Lepisosteus oculatus: one gene and its partner. The protein of the gene in region 1 interacts with the protein of each later gene in a pairwise test. Links are inferred from orthologs where the notes say so. Each region holds a gene or a part of one and is shown on either strand. Other genes may lie near its edges.

Region 1 (10,152 bases):
ATGTTGTATGTAAATGTCTTAAGTCTTTCAACTTCAATATACAGAACTTTATGCACGGGGACACTATACTGTAAACAGGCGCCGTCCTTCGGATGAGACGTAAAACCGAGGTCCTGACTCTCTGTGGTCGTTAAAAATCCCAGGGCGTTTCTCGAAAAGAGTAGGGGTGTAACCCCGGTGTCCTGGCCAAATTTCCCATTGGCCCTTACCAATCATGGCCTCCAAATAATCCCCATCTATGAACTGGCTTCATTACTCTGCTCTCCTCCCCACTGAGAGCTGGTGTGTGGTGAGTGTTCTGGCGCACTATGGCTGCCGTCACATCGTCCAGGTGGGGCTGCACAGTGGTGATGGTGGAGGGGATCCCCATTACCTGTAAAGCGCTTTGTGTGGAGTGTCCAGAAAGCGCTATATAAGTGTAAGCAATTATTATTATTACGCAGTCTTATATCAGCTAGGTCATTAAGAGTTTGCTTCATACTGCCTGACTAAACTGCTCTTAACATGTGACCGACTTAAGATGAACACACACAGGTGAGAGTGACACTGTGTCAGATTCTCCTTGTATCACTGTGTCAGTGTCTTTTCTTCTGCCTCAGTCCAGATGAATATCAGAAATCAAAATAAATTTGCTAGTGATTAAGAACCCAGCTGGAAAAAAAACAGCAGACACACAGGAGTAATCCGGGACCAGGGCTAAGAACCACAACATTACCATAACGCCAAAGCACAACAACAGACAACTAACAAACTACAAAACGTGATAAACAGCTGTATAGCTATTATTGTAGTATTACAACAGAAAAAAACAACTATATAACACAACAACAACAAGGACACAGAAAACATCTGTCAGCTGACTGTCCACAATCAGACAATCAAACAACCTTCTCTCTTCCGTCCTGTGCCCTGACAGCACTCTCTCCCTCTATTGGTTCACTTAGCGAAAAAAAAATAATAGTAGTTGATACTATGACTACTGTCGTCTTAATGTTCATTCCTAACCACATCTCAGGGCTGTTATTCTGAGTTAACCCCAACCTCACGGGTTTAAAACGCTCAAGCCCAGCCAGCTGCCTTCCTGTTTGTAAATTACATGCATTTGTAACATCGCGGGAGCTCGTATCTGCTCATCCGAAACAGAAAGCAAGTCTGGAACACGAACTGCGGCTCAGCACAAACATGCTGCAGTCCGGACGGGTTCTGACTGGGTCCGAGACCCGGTCTCCGCTCGCTCCGCGGTCTCACCTCCGGGGGCAGGTACGGCGGGTTGTTGCTGGGCTTCGTGCTTCTGCTCGCCCGGTTCTTCGCTTTCTTGCCGTTTTTCGAGGTCGACTTTTTGGACATCATCCCGAACCCGTTCCCCGAACCGGCAGCCAGTCCCTGCGAGCCCGACTTCAAGCCGGAGCCGGTACCGAAGAGCTCCGCCATCCGCGAGTCCATCTTGCGGCCGCGGCCTCTCTCCTCCCCCTCAGATGCGTCGCGGCTCTTTCGACTTCCGAAAACCGGGACAGCGCCGGTAACGCATCTGCTGGGCTACAGAGAGGGAATAAAAACAAAAACACTGCACCCCCTCTGCACCCGAAAACGATACCTCAGCACTGAGCTCACTGAAGCGGATATACGTCAAGGCTGATGACAGAGAGGGAAATATTTTCGATGACGTTCACTGAATATTCATGAGGAACCAAAAGTGGGCTGGGATTTCAATCCAGTCTCTCCTCCTATTGGCTGTGACTCACATCAGAATCCCCGCCCACGGAAGAGGGCATGTCTGCGCTCGACTCTTGCCTGTCTTTGCATCAGCGACGGGTGAGGTTAGAGGTGAAGAATGTCAAATGAAGCCACCAATATTGTTGTCCTCATTGTGAAACTACTCCTAGGTTGCAAATGCCAAAACATGTTTTCTTAGTTCAACAAAAACAAAAACCATGGCCGGCCCAAGCTCCCTGCGGGCACTAGGCAAGGTCTTGGAAAGGGGCCTCCCTTATTCATGATTTGCACAGACATTACTAGTATCAGCTCCCAACACAACCTTGTTTTACTGTTTAGAACCATTAAATAAATTAATTATTTAACTGGAAAACGTACTGTTCAACTTTGAAGAGCACATAATATGTTACAGACAAGAACAAGAAGCATACATTTTACAAAGATAACAGGCCAAGCAAATGGGAGCATCCAAAAAAATGTTCTATAAATCATTCGACTAGATTTTCGGGAGGCAAAATCATCAATTGCATCTTCATGCCATAGTAGTCGACCCACAGCGTGACTGATGCTCATGATGGCCTTGTGCCAAGGCTGACCTCAGGAGTGTTTTAATCATCTTGAGCTCTGAGCAGCTCCTCTCTGCTCCTGCCACTGTCACTGGGAGAGAGACTGCAATCTGAAGGGCTACAGGTTGGGTTCACGATACCCCCATTCATTGAAATACAGCAGAAACCCCAAGGAAAACAAATATGTTTTAACTCTGATCACGTATAAACACTGAACAGTTTTTTGTACTGCGCATTCACCTTCAAGCTTTTGTTTGGCCTAGCAGCACTGATTTTTAGCCAGGTATCCCACACAGCTTGTGTACAATTAGAGAAACATGAATCTGTTAACTTCAAGTAAAACACCTCTCGTAGTCTACATCTTGATCTTGAAAATGTGGTTCGTCTACTATTTGCTACTAACATGGATCTGATAGACTCAAAAGCAAATGAAATCCAAATTACATTATCATGCAAATGATGTATTATTAAAATGATTGGAGCGTACCTCTGTTTTGAGATCGCTTATCCTGCTCTTCTTTTCTGCGCTTCAGAAACTTATTTGGTTATTGGTTATGATTGGTTATTTTTTGAGCGGGCTTCCATTAGGATTATCCACATGGAAATGTTTCCATGGAGATCCTTATCAGTGATCACTGAATATTCATGAGGAACCAAAAGTGGGCTGGGTTCTTAACCCAATCTCTCCTCCTATTGGCTACAACTCAAATCAGAATCCCCGCCCACAGAAGAGGGGATGTCTATGCTTGACTCTTGCCTGTCTTTGCGTCAGCAATGGGTGAGGTTAGAGGTGAAGAATATCAAATGAAGCCAGCAATATTGTTGTCCTCATTGTGAAACTACTCCTAGGTTGCAAACGCCAACATGTTTTCTTAGTTCAACAAAAAAATACTTGCAGGCCCTAGGCAAGGTCTTGGACAGCAGACTCCCCTGATCACGATTTGCACAGACACTACAAGTATCAGCTACAAATACAACACAACAACAGCAGCAACAGAAAGTGCCACACTAGGGAATTTTTCACTCACAAATTGAACATGCTGAGTAAAAAAAATGTTGTGTTGCACATTAAGGGGGATCCCTGATTGCTCTAGACAGTCTCCTAGTTTGCCCGTGCCCACACAACATACTGTAGTGATCTCAGGATCACAGGATCTCATCCAGCTGTGTCTTGGGAGAAGCCAGGCTATCATCTTCAGAAACATGACAGAGTATCCTGTTCCCTACTCTCACAACTCTTTTTGTCATTAGACACCTCAGGATGTTGTCTGTGGAAGTGTAACATTTTTCTTCTTTGAATCGGGGCTGCAGTAGAGCAAATCTCTATCAGGTTCTTTGACTTGGCAATGAAGTACTGAACTGAACCGTAAAGAAATGTCTCCTGTTCTTGGTTTTAAATGCACTCCTACCTAGTTTCCACTTGTGTCCTGTGGTTTGTGTTTCGCTGTTCCACTGGGCTGGAGTTCATTTCAGGATTTTGAATATTTGTATTAGGTATTCTCTGTACAAGCCTAGAAATATTTAGGTCCTTTTGCCCGACAGTGCAGGACATTCCTTTGAGTTCAGGAATGTATGTGGTTACTCTATTCTGGGCTGATTGCAGAGCAACAATTTTATAACACACAGATAACAGTTGTATACAACATGCTAAATTAGGTCTTTCTGGTACATCAAGTCAAGTCAAAGTCAAGTCAAAGTTTATTTATCAAATGCACAACAATACAGCGTGCAGCAGTAGTTGCTGGCAATGAAATGTCTTTTTCTGCGAGCTCACAAAAATCACAAAATTCACAAAAACACAAAAATCACAAAACTGAGGTTACATTTTTGAAATTGAATAAAACTCAATATGAGTAGAGCTGTTATGTTTCCATGGTGTATGCAATATATACATGTAGTGCAGTTATGCTGAATACAGTGAAAACTGTGTGTCCATGTAGCCATTACAGGTGATCTGATAAAGGAGCTGCAGATTGGCTATTTCGCAGTTTTATTGCCTGGAGGTAGAAGCTGTTCCGTAGTCCGTTGGACTTGGACCGAATGCTTTGGTACCGTTTACCAGACAGTAGGAGGGAAAACAGTTTGTGACTGGGATGACTGGGGTCCTTGAGAATGGACCTGGCCTTCTTCAGACATCTAGCTGAGTAGATCTCCTGGATGCTTGGTAGCTCACAGCTGGTGATAAGCTGCGCTGACTTCACCACCCTCTGCAGTACTTTGCGATCCCGGGCGGAGCAGTTCCCATACCAGACAGTGATGCAACCAGTCAGGATGCTCTCAATGGTGCACCTGTAGAAGTTGGCCTGGATATGTGACGGCATGCTGAACTTCTTTAGCCTGCGGAGAAAGAACAGGCGCTGCCGTGCTGTCCTGACCACGGTGTTGGTGTGGTGGGTCCAGGTTAAGTCCTCTGAAATGTTAACTCCCAGGAACTTAAAACTGCTGACCCTCTCCACTGCAGTCCCATTGATGTAAATAGGTGTGTGGTCTCCTCCCTGATGTTTCCTATAGTCCACAATCATCTCCTTTGTCTTACTGATGTTAAGAGAGAGGTTGTTCTCCTGGCACCATGCTGTCAGGGTTTCAACCTCCTCCCTGTATGCATTGTACAATTTCGACAAAAAAAACCTTGATACAAATTAATTTTGTCTTAAGGTGTGTTCTGTATCTTAGTAAGATCACTTTATTAGCCATATAAAGTTTCTTGCATTAGGAATTCATCTTTCACAAACCCCAGCCTGCTCTCCATGAGACACACAGACAGGGAGAGAAGCTTGGGGTCAGAGTGCAGGGTCAGCCATTTATACGGCGCCCCTGGAGCAGCTGGGGTGAAGGGTCTTGCTCAGGGGCCCAACGGAGTAGGATTCCTCTGCCAGCCACGGGACTTGAACCAGCAACCTTCCAGCCACAGGCGCAGATCCTGAGCCACAGAGCCACCACTCCGCCCTGTACATTTGCTGCACTACGTGTCTTAACACTGAGGATATCCATAAGCATAACTGGTAATATTGAGATTTACTCTTCTGCTCTCTATGTCTGCATGACAATTGTGGAGTCCTGATGACTAGTAAAGACAGTGAAAACGTTGACTGTGTGCGCCCAGAGAAATTAAAGTATTAAAGGTGGACAGTGTCTCAGACAGTGGAAGACTGCTGCCGCCTTGTGGTCAGGCGTGAGATAGACCTGAAGACCAGCGGCATGACATCTTTATTCGTGAAAGATAAGAAAGATGAAGTCCACAGCGGCTCGTCGATTGGAGCTCAGCCCGGTTTCCAGCGAGTTAAGCGGACGAGAGAGCACGTGACTCCCCTCCGTGTAGGAATTATCCCCCAACTTATTATTACACAACTGGGTGAACTGGAGCAAATGGGGTACAGTATCTCACTCAAGGCACACCAGCAGCGCCTGCAGCAGGGACTCGAACCCGCAACCTGCCGCTGTTGTGTTCAAACCCAATAGGTTATACCGCTCCCTTATTCAAGATTCAAGAAGAGCGAGCAGAAAATAAAACAATCTTAATAATAAAGCCGCACGCCGAGGTGACCAGGCGTCAGGAATGTTTTTTACATTTTACCTTTCAGCGGCATCCGGGGCTACGGCACTTTTCGACAGAGGGCAATGAGATCTTATTTGTGTGCCAGAGTAATTAAGGAAGTGTACTGTACAGTCTAGGCGGTGTCCGACATTAAGACGTCGGCGTATGCCTCAGCAGCTGGACTGCCGCTGGTGCAGCTGCGCAGACTGTAGGGCTCGGCAGTCCGTCTGACGTACAGGAAGTGACGCGTTTTTAAAAACCTGAAAGAGATTTAAAAAATAACAATACAAAACCAAATCAAATATACGATTAAAATTAAGAGCGCACGGCACGGCCGGGGCTGAGTTTTGCGCTGGGGCTGTGAGGAGCCCCGTGCTGTCAGACCCGACTTCCTGCGGGCTCCCGTGATGCCGCAGCCGCGGCGGCGGATTCAAACCGAGCCGGGGCTGAGGCTGAGGATGGCGGAGCAGCGGCGGCCGGGCAGCCCGGTGACGGTGTACCGGGACCCGGAGCCCCTGGACCAGAGGATGGCGGTGCTGGACATCGGTGCGGCAGTTACGTCGGAAAACACAGACGTCTCCTTGCCTGGCAAGACGGGAGCGGGCGGCCGCGGCGAGGAGGAGAAGGAGAACCGGCTTCCCGGGCCGGGCCAGGCCGCAGGTGCGCTCGGCGGTGCCGCCCCGGCTGGACAGGGGCCTCCGCTGGCCCAGACACCTCGCGTGTCCTGTATCAGGAATAGGAATCCAGCTAGATTAATAGTAATCATTTAATTGGGTTAAGAAGTTCATTTCCGAAAGAACTACATAAGCATATTAAATATTTTACTACTTTAAACATGTTTGTGGTTTGTGTGGGCATTCAGTATACAGACCTACGTTTTTGTGTACTGTAGCCTAGACGGCTGTACTTTTGAGATTAAATTTGTCATTAAAACGCTCCTGACAGTTTGGTCTAGGCGTCACTGATTGCCCGCACTAGAGAATAGGTGGGTGTTGTTGTCCAACTGTCTGATGTTTCACACGTGGGAGCTCTTTAGGATGAATAATTTACAGCTTTTCAGACCTGGGCGAGCTGAAGCCCCCAGGTGTGTATTTCCAGCACAAATCAAGTTCTGGTTGAGCTGATCTGGAATGGTCTTCCAGGTTAGTGTGGGTTACTGAGCTCCTGTGTTTTACAACAGTGTAGGACTGTCCAGTGTTGTTTTCCTCCTCTGTGCATGTGGTGTAGAAAATTAAATCCCTGACAGGAGGATTTTCCGCTGTGATTTCCTTTCAGTTTTAGTGGAAGTCGACACTGCGACTGGGGGGTCAGCCGGCTGCCCTCGGTGTGTGGACGCCCCGGCCAGAGGCTCTGGGCCTCGCGCGCAGGCGGAGGACGGCCGTGTGTGCGTGGTGTTCCGCGGTGCCGTTGCCCACACCAGCTGCTGCAGGTTTGCCTGCGAGCTGCTCAAGTTCGTGCTGTACGAGCGCCAGCAGCTGCCCGCGCCCTACGACCAGCTCCTGCTGCTGCAGGAGGCGACAGCGCCGGCGGGCCGCCAGGTGAGCTGGGCGCCCGCACTCCTGTGGGCACGGACACGCGGGCCTGGCTCGCTATCGGGACTCCGGGCGGTGCACGGAGCAAGAGTACAGGAAGCGCCGCTCAGGTCTGACCTCTGCCCTTCCTCTGCAGGGCGCCCTCCGCAGGCCCATGAAGACGGGCGGCCTGGACGGCCGGCGCTGTCAACAGACGCTGCGGGAGCTGAAGGAGGTGCTGCAGAACCTGGAGGTGCTGTTCTCCCTCACCCTGGTGCCCCGCGTGCTGCTGCTCCTGGGGGGCAACGTCATGGCGCCCAAGGAGCTGTTCGAGATCGATCTGGAGGCCCTGGTCCTGGGCGAGGAGGCTGGCAGCCTGGGCACGGCCGCATGCCTGCGTCAGCTTTTCCACACCCTCTTCGTGGCGGACGTCCTGTTCAAGCCGCAGCCCAGGAGCCTGGTGGCCACCACGGTCATGGTGCTGGGCCACCGGGACTGCGGCGTGGGCTGGTTCCGGCCCAGGCAGGACTACACGGTGCCCACCAGGGCGAAGAGGCAGGTGATCGCTCTGTCCTCCGACACGCACCCCCCCACCCCCGCCCAGGGCGAACAGCGGGACTGGGAGGATTATATCTGGTTCCAGGCGCCTGTGGTCATCAAGGGGTTTTGCAAATGAGAGACAATGGGGTGAGAGCCAGACGAGATACGCGTTACACTAAGCGATGTGGCAAAATAAAGTTGGGCATGAGTCAGCATGGGACTGTGGGGGTTATCCGCACAGGGAGAAAGCCCCCCTTTCCTGCTTTTTACCTCTGCGGAGCCTCCTCATGGTCAGTGCGGGAGGCCATCGGTGCTGTTTTTTTAACTTGTAAGTTGTGTGGATGTCTTTCAATTCTAATGTAAATTCGTTTAAAGTATTAAAGTTTTAAAGAATGCAGCACAGGAAGTGAGATTTTCCTTCCCTAATGATGTGGAAATTCATTGAAGGTTACAGCAGCAGCCGTCAGTTTCATTGCTGTTGGAAGCTTTTTATTGTGGAGAAGGAGTAGACCTGATGGTTTTTCCATGGGCCTTCTCTAAAGTTTAGATTAAATCTGCTGTAAAGTGCCTTTCTGAAGAGCTGCAGTTTAGTGTGTTGTCAGATTGTGTTAAACTCTTAATCTAAACATCATGTCACCTTTCACAATTAGTGCTAATTTAGAATCCCCTTCAGCAGTATCACAAGCCCATTGTGGAGAACCCAGTCTATCAGGTTTAGATGCCTCATACAATCTCATTGATCTGAACTAACAAAGCCAATTAGTGGTCAGTAAGTAACAGATCTCAAAATCAGAACATGCAGCAGTGCTCCAGGACCAGGCCAGCAGGATCCTCCTCTTAATTTTTTTCAATTTTCTCCACTTTCTTTGCGAACTCGCGGAAGTCGTCGGTAAGCAGCTCTGGCTCCTCGAAGGCGGCGAAGTGCCCCCCCCGGGGCATGTAGGAGTAGGAGACGATGTTCTTGTAGCGCCACCTTGCCCAGGACCGCGGGCAGTGCAGGAGCTCGTGGGGAAAGGCCGCCAGGCCGGTGGGAACGTACACGCCCACCCTGCCAAAACACGCAGGCCAGGGACGGTGTTAAAACAGGCCTTGATTTTAGCATCAGACCCACTGCTGTCTCCCCAGCACTGCAGCTCCCTGCTAGAGCTGTTCCACACCTGTTTAACCCAGACGAGCACCGTGGCCAGGAGCCCTACTGAATACCTGGACAGAGGCGGAAGTCAGACATGACCCACTAGTCTGCCTCAACCTGCCTCAGCCTCTACCCAGTGAGGCCCTGCCGGGAGCCTGCACAGCGCCAACAGGAGAGGGAAGTAACAGCTTCCCTGCGCTGTTATGAAGGTTTTGAAGTTGCATCCTCCAAGCATGATTTATCTAATTGGGAACCAAAGGGAGAGGAGGCCAGAAACTGAAAGGAGTAACCCTGTAAAGACCCCTTGTTCAGGGTGTCCAGGAAAGTGATCTCACCTGGCATCCACCCTCTTGTGAATGTTCTCCTTCAGGTTCTCTTTGTAAAACCGCATCGAAGGCACAATGGAGCCTGTGGTCCAATACAACATGACGTTCGTCAAGAGATCATCGAGGAAAAACTTCCTGGAAGAAAAGGCGGATCTCCTGTGAACAAACCACCTCGTGTCCTGCTGCTGTCCCCGCCGGGTCACACAGCTCTTGAAACTCGTTCCTAAGCAGAGGCGGGTCCCGGAGCAACTGCAGTATTTCCAGTGCTGGTTTATACCTGCTGCACACAGCACTGGTCCCCAAGGTCTTAGCTCTACCAGTTCTGTGCTCTTAGCATTTTGAAAACAAATTATTAAAATGTTCAAATATACATTAATTTCACAGTCTATGTAGAGAGAGGTCAGCATTTTATTTATTCCAGTCCCTGGAGGGGGTTTTGGGAGCAGCAAGAGGTTCTTACCTCTCCAGCCCCCCGTCCTCCAGGCCTCTGTGCTGGAAGTCTGTCCAGGTGGAGAACTTCTCCAGGATGTAGGCAGCCAGGCCCACAGGGGAGTCGTTCAGCCCACAGCCTGCAGGGGGGAGACACAGCCCCTCTGAGCTCTGGTGAGTAGCAGACCAGCTGCATTTCAGAGCCCAGTGTTCTCCCAGATCATTTTCATCCCAGTTTAACATTAACTGGGCTAATATCGGCTGACTGCTCACGTTCTTCATTTCCAGATTTTTAATTCCCCTATTTTAATTTACATTTTTATACAGCAGACGTGAGGCCTTTTCTAATTCAGTTAATCAAAGTAAGATATAAAACAGGTGTTTTGATGTAGTGAAAAGT
Region 2 (10,511 bases), on another chromosome or scaffold:
GAAGGCAGGAATCGCTCTCTTTCCTACCCAGTATCCGTAGATGCCGGTGCGGGTGTAGCTGGCCTGGATGTCCCGGATGAATGTGATGTGCGCTTGCTTGGCAAAGAGGAGCAACAGGAGTCCCTGCATGCGGATGGATATCAGCTGCATGAGAAGGGACAGACAGGGTTGGGGGACAATGAGCTTGCCTCCATTCTGAAATCAAAGCTATTAATCAAAAAGTGAGGTGAAGAGAAAATATTTATTTTCAAGACAAATGTATGTGAAGTTATGGGCTCAACATGAAACAGCTAAGCGAACAACTGGCCATTGGCCATTCATTGAGTCACAGCACAACATGGCCACTTGGTCACGAAAGATTCCAAGGCACTGCTCACACAAACAGGAGTATGCACCCCGGTGATCTGGCTAAATGTCACTGTGCTCAAACAGTCTGGCCTCCCTAAAGTTCCCCCTGGTGCAGCAGTTCCTCACTCCTAGCCTGGATCTGCTCCTGCAGAGCAGATGCTGAGCATCACCCACGATGGAGGAGGAAATGGGTCTCCTTTAGTATGAAAGGGGATAAATATGTGTGAAAATCGATTATTATAAATTGGCTTTATCACTGGTTCCCAACTAATGGCCTGAACATTTCTGTTATGAGACAGCATGTGCTCTGCTTCTCACTAACTGCTTTGCAGATTCTAAGCTGTCCAGAAATAAAGCAAGCAAACGGGTCTAGAGTGGACATTGAAAGGAAGTGGTCCCTTTGGAGAAAAGTCTGTTCTTAATGACAGACGAATCTCCTGGGCACCTGTCAGCTGTTCAGGTCCCATTCTGGGTACTGGTAGTGTACAGCGCTTCAGCACTTTAGGGTTGACAGGTTCATTCAGAAGACAGGAGAATGAGAGAGATCATACAGGCAAAAGAGCAACTCCATGTGCTGCCAGTATGAACTGCAGGGAACTCTAGTGTGAACTACGTTAGCTAGTATTATCCCACTGTTCCTTTCAAGCAAACAGAGGTTTCCAGATAACAGAGGACACTACAAAGACATACATGTTCAGACACTCTGAGAATAAAAAGTTTAATAAAAAATGAAGGCTTAACAATATTAATTGGTTTGGACCACAAATGAGACTCTGTTTGATAAACAAACCATGCCCTCTCACTGTATTAACAGCCCCCTAATGAGGTGGATGACAATGCCTTCCATTGTTCAGGAAGGCCAAGTCAGCAGCGAGAGATACAGCACACACATGTCTCTGAAAGACACTGAAGCTGCTGGGATGGCAGCCTGGCCCAGTACTGCAATGAAAAGGTCCTGCATCAAGACCATTAGTTTCAGCCTTGACTGGAGATACAGCTTCAACTACAATTCTTTAAAGATGGTAGCACCTCTTTTAACCAGCTCTTAGTTTGCCACAAGCCTACAGCAGTGTCAGTGTTCAGGAATTTTATGTATTTGCATTTTGAAAAAGAAACAAAGTCTTCATGTGTGAGAGGAGAAGACCGCTTTGTTACAGCATCATAGCTTTCCCTAACTTGCAGGCACAGATGGTGCTACACAGAGAACTGGCATGGAATTCATTTTTACTTTCTTCATCAGTTTTTTACGCTCATGTTTGAAGCTCTAGAACTCTAGAAGGTGTGAACTGAGACGGACGCTGCAGAGAAGAGTAAAAGGCCGAACCTTCACATATCCCAGCGGGGCCAGCGTGTCCATCAGGAGGCGACTCCAGGGGTCCTCAAACGTCATGTCATTAATAAAATTCAGAAGCCTGGAGTTGACTTCCTGCAGCCTGCAGAGAAAACACAGAACAGCTGCCAAAGGCACCAGCGATACCAGCCTATGCCACCCGCATCCAGCATGCCGGAGTGCAGCTCTAGGCGGGCACTCTGCACTGGCAGCTCCTGAATGGGTGCACACGCCTTTCAGGGCTTCTTTATTTTCCTCTTCGAACATGACTGAACATGTCAGATGTCAACTGACACACCAGGGACCTGTGTGAGGACTTTGTTGCCTTCTGAGCAGTGATCAGAGGTATTATTCTCTTCTCGGGCATCAGCAGCTGTGGTTGAGGTAAGAGTACAGTACTGCATGTCTCGGGCTGAATATGTTAGAAACATATGCCTAATTCTTAGTAAGAAAGGATTTTCTGCAACATACATGTCTGCTCTGTCTATTTTGTTTTAGTCTTTAACTGGGACTTAATTTTTATTCTGTGACTTAAAGTTCTTATTGTTAGCTATGACTGTACTGTGATACTGGCAAAACTGATGCCCTTATAGCTGGTGTTAAAAAAAGTCAAACGGTAACATAAAATGATACATAAAGTAGAGGCTCATGTCACTCTGAAACAGAGCTTTAAAATAGTTATTACAGAGAATAAATTGTGTGAATTTCAAGGTAGGATGTTGCATGTTTTGATGTTAATGGAGTCTCTATGTGGCATTTAATTTTGCTTTGTACAACAAGCTGTTTTACTGTTGTTTGAAGTAGGACCATTTGTCACACACAACAGTCCTGTAAGCAGGGTGCTGACAATACCATGGAGCAGATCTCAAGAGAAAGTGGTCTTAAAGGAATGGCAGAAACTGAATAAGCAATACTCCTTTAAAAGGAGAACAGATTTTGTAATTGCAGTAGAAAGTGATGAAATAGAAATGTAGATGGGAAGAAGCCTCTTGCAGGATGTCCCACCTGCTGGACACTCACTCACCCAATCACAAACAAGTCAGCAGGTTTCTCAGAGTCCAGCTCCAGCAGGGAGCTGACATCGCTGGGGGGGGCAGCAGTCCCCACATTCCAGGTGACCATGTGCAACCTGAGAGAGAGGAGCAGAACCACAGCACCGCTGGTACATAAAGAAGGACACATTCCAGACATGGACAACTTGCATTGCATTGGTTCAGAGGAACATCGCTGCACTGCGTCTCCAAAGGCTATAAATAGCATCTCAGAAATTTTACAAAAACATCCAACAAGAGTCCAGCTGGAAACCACATTACTCCATCCCCTCCTCACTATGAAAAATCTCAGTGATGTGCCTGTAAATTTATGATACGTATGACTGAGACATTTGACTAGAGACTTTCCCATTTTGTTTTTTAGTATGTCTGCACCTCTCGCATCACATCAGTTAAAGCATTCTGAGTACTGAAGTGGAGGAGGAATTTGTGCTCATTGCCCTGGTTGTCCTTCCCTGGACTATCGGAAATACATGTGAATTTCTGGAGCTTTAAACCACTCTCTCTCCCCCCAGGACGCCAGGGAGCAGATGGTAACAGCCAAGGCACCTGAAGCGCTCCTCCTCGCGGGCGCCCCGCTTCCCGCAGAGCAGGAAAGCCTCATTCAGGGTGCGAGACACCTCCTCCTGCAGCTCCTCGTCAGAGCTCAGGTCCTCCACGCAGGTCATGAGCTGCACCACGCGCTGGCGCAGGAGCAGCCTCCCGCTGGTGGACACCGAGGCTGTGCTGGCCATGCTGTCGGAGCGGGCACGCAGCCCCGGGAGCCCCTCCGCATCCTCCATCCGCTGGCAGGCTGGGTCGGTCAGGGCGAGCTGGCAGTGAAGCTCCACACGCAATCACACACTGCCTCCCGGCACTTCTGCTCAGACTAGCCGATTGCGGCAGCAAGCCAGTAGCAATGCAAAACAAGCCGATCGATGAAAATTAAGATGATTCAATTACTGGTACAAGTGTTCAGTGAAAAGTTCTTAAAAATATATGAATGAGCTACAATCAATGGTTCCAGTATGAATCAGCAACTGCAATTCAAACAACAGTTTCTTGTTCTCTTTCTTGAACTTCTTTTGCATCCAGAATAAAATCCTTTCCAAAGTTCTTTGGTCAAAAGGTAATTTCTTGCAGTTTACAAAGCTGTAGTCGGACGTTTCAGAGCAGGTGAACAAGTCCTCCTTCTTTCAGCACGGGAGGAGCTCCAGCACCAGGACTGGCAGGCCCAGCAAGACCACCAAAAAGACAGAAGGAAAAACACCAAAAGACCAACTTCCTAATGAAGTAACAAGTCCACTTCTCCTTTAGGTCCAATTGTGCTCCTCAAATGAATTGGTGAAAACAACAATAAAACTTAAAAGGATGTTCTGCCTCTCAAGTGGAGGATTATTTAAATCTCCAGGAACCCACGTGACAGAGAGGCCTTGGTGACCAGAGGCTTGCGAATGCGTCTGTGCTGGGCACTGGCTGATTCCAGCATCACTGGCCCATTGTTAGGAGACATTTGAGCTCTAATCCGGTTAATATTCCAGTGAGGCAAATAATGATTTGTCTTGTGCGTAAGAGTTGGACTCTATAACACCAACAGTCTTGCTCTCCAAGCCAAATCACGACAAAAGGGGGTCTATCCCCCTCTAGCCCCAGTCTAGCCCCAATCCCCCACCTAGCCTCTTAACATGCTATTGGTCCACTGTGGTGGTCAGGCCACAAAATACATTAAAATTAAGTCAGCAGGTTAAAAAGGGCATTGGCAAAGTAAATAACTGTCTGAATTACATTTGATACCTTTGGCTTATTTTCAATGTCACTGAAGAGTTATCAGAATAACTTTCGCCACAGCATCCATTGGCTTGCCCAGTACAGTATGGAATTGTTCAAAATTATACCAAACTGGGCAACCTTAATGTTTACTTTAATTCTTATTGGAAAATTAGATTCTCTTACAATAACTTTGCTTAAAATTGCATTTTAAAAGAAGGTAACTACATTACATTATTCAGAGAGTAGTATCTGTGTATGAATTAGATGTAGCATATGCGTCATGACTTAACAGACTATCCCCATTAACAGACCACCCTTCCCCCAACAGAATGTTAAATTTTGCTTTTACTGTATTAACAGGACTCATAGATGTCATTATGCCCTGATTTTAGGTACATAGGTGCAGAAAGAAGTGAAGCAAAAGATCAAGATGGCCCATTTATCCCATCATACTTGTTTTCTTTTGGTAGAATAAAGCTAAAAGATTGCTGGGACCAAGGCTGCACCAATCCAACACCTTTCCAGAGCTCTCAGACAGCCACAGGCCTGCGGTTCAGCTCCCTCCTCACCCCCCCGTCACCCCACTCCTTCCAGGACAGCTCTGGAGCTGAAGCACACAAAGAAGAAAATCCGCTTTCCCCTGTGACAGCAGAGCTCTGGTTCTTAATTGGCAGAACTCCTGGCTAATGAATTGAAACTGTGCTTGGAGTGCTCAGATGTCCAGAAAAAGACTGTTACACAAAACCCACAAATACCTCTTTCACAAGGACTTTAATCCCCTCAGTTCACTGGATAATTCTGTCACAAGGTGCTTCCAGCATTCCTGAACATATCACAACAGAGGCATTCTTCAGATCAGGGGGCCAGGAGCAGGGTGAGGGTCTGAGCTCCAGTTCAGACCATTTGAACTTGCATGATCTGTTCAGCTGGCCAAACTCCGTCTCCATTAGTCAGGACCAGTGGATGCAATAGTGACATTCTCAATCTTCTCAAATTGCTATAATTGAGAGCACTGCAAGCTGCATTCTGACATATGTATGTAGAAAGATACAAGGACAGCTCCCACTAGAAAAAGCCCAGCACATTTGCGAGATGAGGTGCAGATTTTGTGAATAATATAAAACGTAATTAAGTTAATATGAACAGTTACAAACAAGAGGAGGACACCCAGGTTATCTTGTCTCTTTGTTAGTCCCTAACTGAAGGATCAAGCTGTTTTCTAACAGAAGCCAGGGTATGGGCTTCAACAAGGCTGGGTAACATGTTCTACATTCCCACAACCCTCTGGCTGAAGACATACCTCCTGTCCTCAGTTTAAAATGTACTTCCTCGTAGTTTCTGCTTGTAGCCTCTGTATCTTCACGTAGGGTTTGCGTTTAATTGTTTATTCGGAAGAAATCTACTGGGCTGATGTTGTCAATGTCTTTGAGGATTTTGAACATTTGTATCAGGTCGGCTTATTGTCTTCTCTGTTCAAAACTGTAAAGATTTAGTTCCTTTGGCCTGTCAGTGTAGGAAATTTCTTTGTGATCTGGAATGTATCTGGTTGCTCTTTTCTGGACAGATTACACAGAAGCAACATCTTTTCTACAACATGGTGTACAAAACTGTACACAATTTTCTAAATGAAGCCATGCTAGTGCATTGAAGACGTTTAACATAACATCCCTTGATTTAAATTCTGCACTTTTAAATTTAAATATATATTCTTTCATACATATTTAGGATTTCCTTTTTATTCCTTCTCCTCATTGTCTAGAAGATATAAGCAGAACCTGCATCAACACACACATCTGTCGTTTACATCAGTAGCCTCTTCTATCTCAGTTTCCCATTTTGTATCTGCAAGTTATCTTCTTGCTGCCTACACTGCCAAACCCTGCCTACCTCTCCTATTGTCACTTGGATTCAACAAGGAGTGGCAACACTTGCCAACTTGGGTGGACTTAACTTGACCAGGACACCCTCATCTTGTCGTGCAAGAGTGGCCCCTGTGACTGGCCAGGGCCTGCGAGTGTCCAGTGTGGTCTCCGAGGAGCGCTCGCTCTGCTGTAGGCTCCACAGTTCGCGCTGCCTGACCAGGCAAAGGAGCAGAAACACGCGCTTTCACAGAGCACGCTATGAGCACCCTCACTCCTCTGATCTTGGACTGTATCGGTGAGTCAAACTGATTATTTCTGTGATCGGAAGTGCATAAACAGAAAATTATTGACAATTATAATTTTTTTATCAATTCAGGAACAGTCTCACAAAACATAATATATATTATATATAAATAATAACATATGGAAAAAATGGCAAAAAAGTTCTCTATTGGTCCAGCCTGAATAGTAGGACTGATCTTTCCCATTTTTTCTAATTTTTTCTTCTTTCTACAGCACCTACCAGTTACTAATCCCTAAACTCCGTATGTATGTGGTAAGAAGCTCTATATACAGTCCCGGGCGGCAATACCCTAACAACCCCAGAGCAATGAGCACCAGCTTCGCACCTTCAGAGCAAATGAAGAACTAAGAGCACAGACTGTGTTCTCCAGCAGTGAGGGATCAGGTATTTCCTCATGGCGACACATGGGTCCACACCTGACCAGCTCTGAGCACCAGAACCCTCTCACTTCCTGGAAGCAGGTTTCTTATGAGGTAACAAGTTACAAGAGGAAAGAGGTCTGCAGCTTCAACCATCCATGTCAATCTTCCTGTCGATGCCTTTTCCAAGGCAACAGCAATGGAACTAAAAACTCCCCACTGCTCTGGCAGCTCCCCAGGGAGACAGGGCCCTGAGCATAAGGGTCTCACAGGGGAAAGACCAGGTTTCTGCAGCCAGGTGTGAACCTGCCCTCAGGACGTGCTGAAGACACCTGGAGCATGAGGAAGGTCATCAATTGGCCATTTTACCCAAATAGTTCATGTGATTCATAGTAGATGTTCAAGCTGGGGATCTCATTCAGCTGTTTCAGACTCCCAAAGCCTTTTGTCTGATCAGATAACAACATTCAACATCTAAGGTTAAATAACCATAATTAGAATCATGTATCATGATCTACACATTGCAGAAACACTCAGCTCTCACACTGGCATCATTATCATCCTCACCCCTAAACGTACCTGAAAGTGTCCATCTTGGCTGCAGTCTTACTGCTGATCTTGGCCTGGAACAGAGAGTTCTGGGTCTCTGACGTAGGGCTTAAATGCATCCTTGAGCCTGTGAAGACACACACCACATCAGCTCACGGACGCAGCTTCATCATTCCCAGGGACCCTGCAGTCACACAGTCCAGTGCTCTGGGAGAAGCCTGAGAAATCAGTGCTGCATCATTTGCACTGCTGACAACTGAGGTGTGTGCAGATACCACGAAAGGGTCAGGCTCAATCTGATGTTTCTGTGCTGTGTCCTACAGCCCTAACTATTGTGAAATATTAATATTTTGAATGCAGTACTTCTCTGTATATTACAAAACACTATTTGAAAACAAATGATGGAACAGACAGCTAATTCATAAAAAAGATTAGCCACATCCTGGATTTTCTCTGTGTCTAATCGCCTTTTCTAATCCTTCTGATGTCTGCTTTTCACAGACCATCACATGCCTGGACCAGAACAATCTGATCAATATGCTGCATGTCTTTTTCAGAATCGCTTCCCCAGAATTCCTTCTTATACAGGGCTGACGGTAAAGGTCTGCGCTTTTACTGTGCTCGTGATACAGGCACTCTCACGTCGTCTCCCATTATTTATCGGGCGTCTCCATCTTCCAGGGCTGCTGTCAGAAAAGATTTTATATGTTCGTGATTTTTTCCGCTTCACTCCAATGCTGATATAGCTGTGCCATATCTATCTATGGAACCAGAACATTAATAGCACGCTGTTTAATCATTTTATAATATTTAGCGTTATAATTCAGCCCTTTAATATTTAAATCCAGAGACATCTTGAATGCCTGGTTTATGACAAGTGGAATTCTTTTTAAAACAATTTTTAATTAAAAACTGTTCAAGTACAGTTTTATTTAAAAAATCTTTTTTATCAGCCTATGACGTTCACAGTAGACATCTGTTAATCAAACAGCGCAGACCCACATCTGCGTGACACTGGAACACTGACAGGACGCGACACGACACGGAAAACACCTGTGGGTGCGAGTGGTCTACAGCATGAACAACGAGAGCATAATTATAGATCTTCGCGTTGTAGGAAACTTAAATCATCCTGATGCCACTCTCCATAAATACCGGACTTGCAATACACGAGCTGACACGTCTTACCGTCTTAAGAGTTCCAGTTTTAACATCAGTCAACTGGTAAAGTGCCAACAGCTTCAACATAGTAGCGTTCCTACTATAAGAGCATGTGTAAACACGCAGAGCACAATCACGCATCCCACGTTAGACGGCAAACGACCGTGTTTAACATCATTATTACTATCCACATTAACACTAAGCACTGCGCTGCTTCGCCTACGTACGTCACTGTGAGATACTGTTATTCCCATAGCTGAGTCAGGCTGAGCCAAATAAACGCGGAAAGAAAAGAATTTCATGCTGCCCGTTCACTCCACGATTTCCTTTATTTTAGAAATAATCTCATCTTTCAGACATTTACGACTTCTAGGCAGACGTCGCAAAATAAGTTTAAAGGCATCTCTGACAGCACAGATTAGCGCATCAGTTGACTAATCACGTATTTACAGCACCGCCCCTCCTCTCCGATCAAATAAAGGCTAAACGGATCCGCCAGAGAGGCATCAGTTTCCTTCTATATATTTTCCTGCTAATCTGAACATGGTCGATTCACAATGTTTCAATTACCATAAAAACAAAATATTAAGTCATACCGTGCGGTAATAATGAGCCAGCTACGCCAGTCACGCTGTCCGAAAAACAAACAGGTGCATCTGCTGTGCCTACTGAGTGACCGGGCGCTTGCAGACACAGCCGCTTGCTGCCAGCCCGAGTGCGGCATGAAGACGCTGGAGCTGGCTTCCTATTTGCGGTGCCGTTCACAATAAAAGTCCTCTAAAACACGCTAAAACTCCTGGACAGTGTAAAGTTGCATTTCTGGCAAAACAACAATTTGTGCATCCTCAGAACTGGGTGGAATGCGATACGAAGGCTCGCAGCTAATAGAAAATGACCGGTCTTCAGTCGTTTTTACCTCCTTGCTAATGTTTTTGTGTTTTTAGATCACTTCCTCTTGGCAAATTGGTACAGTGCTGGACAGGGGAAAGAGTCGCCTCTGACCAAACAAAACTGTGTACATCTCAAAACCCTTTTTATCGTATGGGGAAAAAAACAGTTTAAAGAGAATGACAATTTACAGGAGTATAAATGAAAGAATAGTTTGCTGGGTCAGCTTCAAAGGAACAGGTAAAGGTTTAGTCCATGCTGAGAGGAAAAGAAAAGAACATTTCGGCTGCAGAACCTTCTTCAGATTTGAGGGCGTAAATGAAACGAAACGTAGGCATCAGTAGAGGTGATCTGCAATACAAAAAAACATGAAAAATTCCAGAGAATGTTAAAAAGTTACAAGTAACCTAGACGAAATTACTACGCAGGTTTGTTTTAATGTTTTTATTTTTTAAACACAAAAGGGAAATACAACAAACAGGGGTATATACATACAAATGTCACAACGTGATAGAACAAAGGTACCATCAGATGAAGGAAAGAACAAAAGAGAAAAATTAGTACGCAGGTGTTTGCTTTGCTGAGCGCTGCTGTACTCGTTACTGAGGACTTTTACTTTGATTGAAATTCGGCTGTTTACAAACATTTCCGGTTCATTCGCGCTGCTTAATGGTGCACGTTTCACGACCTTGATGACGCTATATGTACTCTACTACATACTTTTTTGTTATTGTTACAATAAAAAAAAAGTTTTAACAAATATCTTCACGCCGCTTTGCCTGCCGTCACTGAGCAGGAATTGTGAGGTGTTCCGGGTCACGCAGCTGGGCGGGGGGTGGAGTTACGGATTCAGGAAATTGAAGGAGAAGTTGCTGTATTAGTACTGTAGGGAGTTTTGATCTTCGAATA

The links.
Region 2: the proteins of mad2l1bp (region 1) and inositol polyphosphate 5-phosphatase K interact in binary tests that used the Homo sapiens proteins (3 or more experiments, as listed by UniProt). The link is inferred for Lepisosteus oculatus from reciprocal best matches to the Homo sapiens genes MAD2L1BP and INPP5K.

The regions. Positions count from the first base shown.
Region 1 is NC_090712.1:640,592-650,743, reverse strand, and holds mad2l1bp (MAD2L1-binding protein), read left to right. Parts: upstream 1-6,007; 5' UTR 6,008-6,221; coding exon 6,222-6,474; intron 6,475-7,089; coding exon 7,090-7,352; intron 7,353-7,482; coding exon 7,483-8,001; 3' UTR 8,002-8,125; downstream 8,126-10,152. Other genes in the region: gtpbp2b (GTP-binding protein 2b), read right to left, coding at 1,249-1,443; ephx5 (epoxide hydrolase 1), read right to left, coding at 8,703-8,913, 9,333-9,458, 9,784-9,892. UniProt on the Homo sapiens protein: May function to silence the spindle checkpoint and allow mitosis to proceed through anaphase by binding MAD2L1 after it has become dissociated from the MAD2L1-CDC20 complex.
Region 2 is NC_090721.1:246,348-256,858, forward strand, and holds the start of inositol polyphosphate 5-phosphatase K, read right to left. Parts: upstream 4,315-10,511; 5' UTR 3,513-4,314; coding exon 3,280-3,512; intron 2,808-3,279; coding exon 2,703-2,807; intron 1,782-2,702; coding exon 1,673-1,781; intron 145-1,672; coding exon 28-144; intron 1-27. UniProt on the Homo sapiens protein: Inositol 5-phosphatase which acts on inositol 1,4,5-trisphosphate, inositol 1,3,4,5-tetrakisphosphate, phosphatidylinositol 4,5-bisphosphate and phosphatidylinositol 3,4,5-trisphosphate.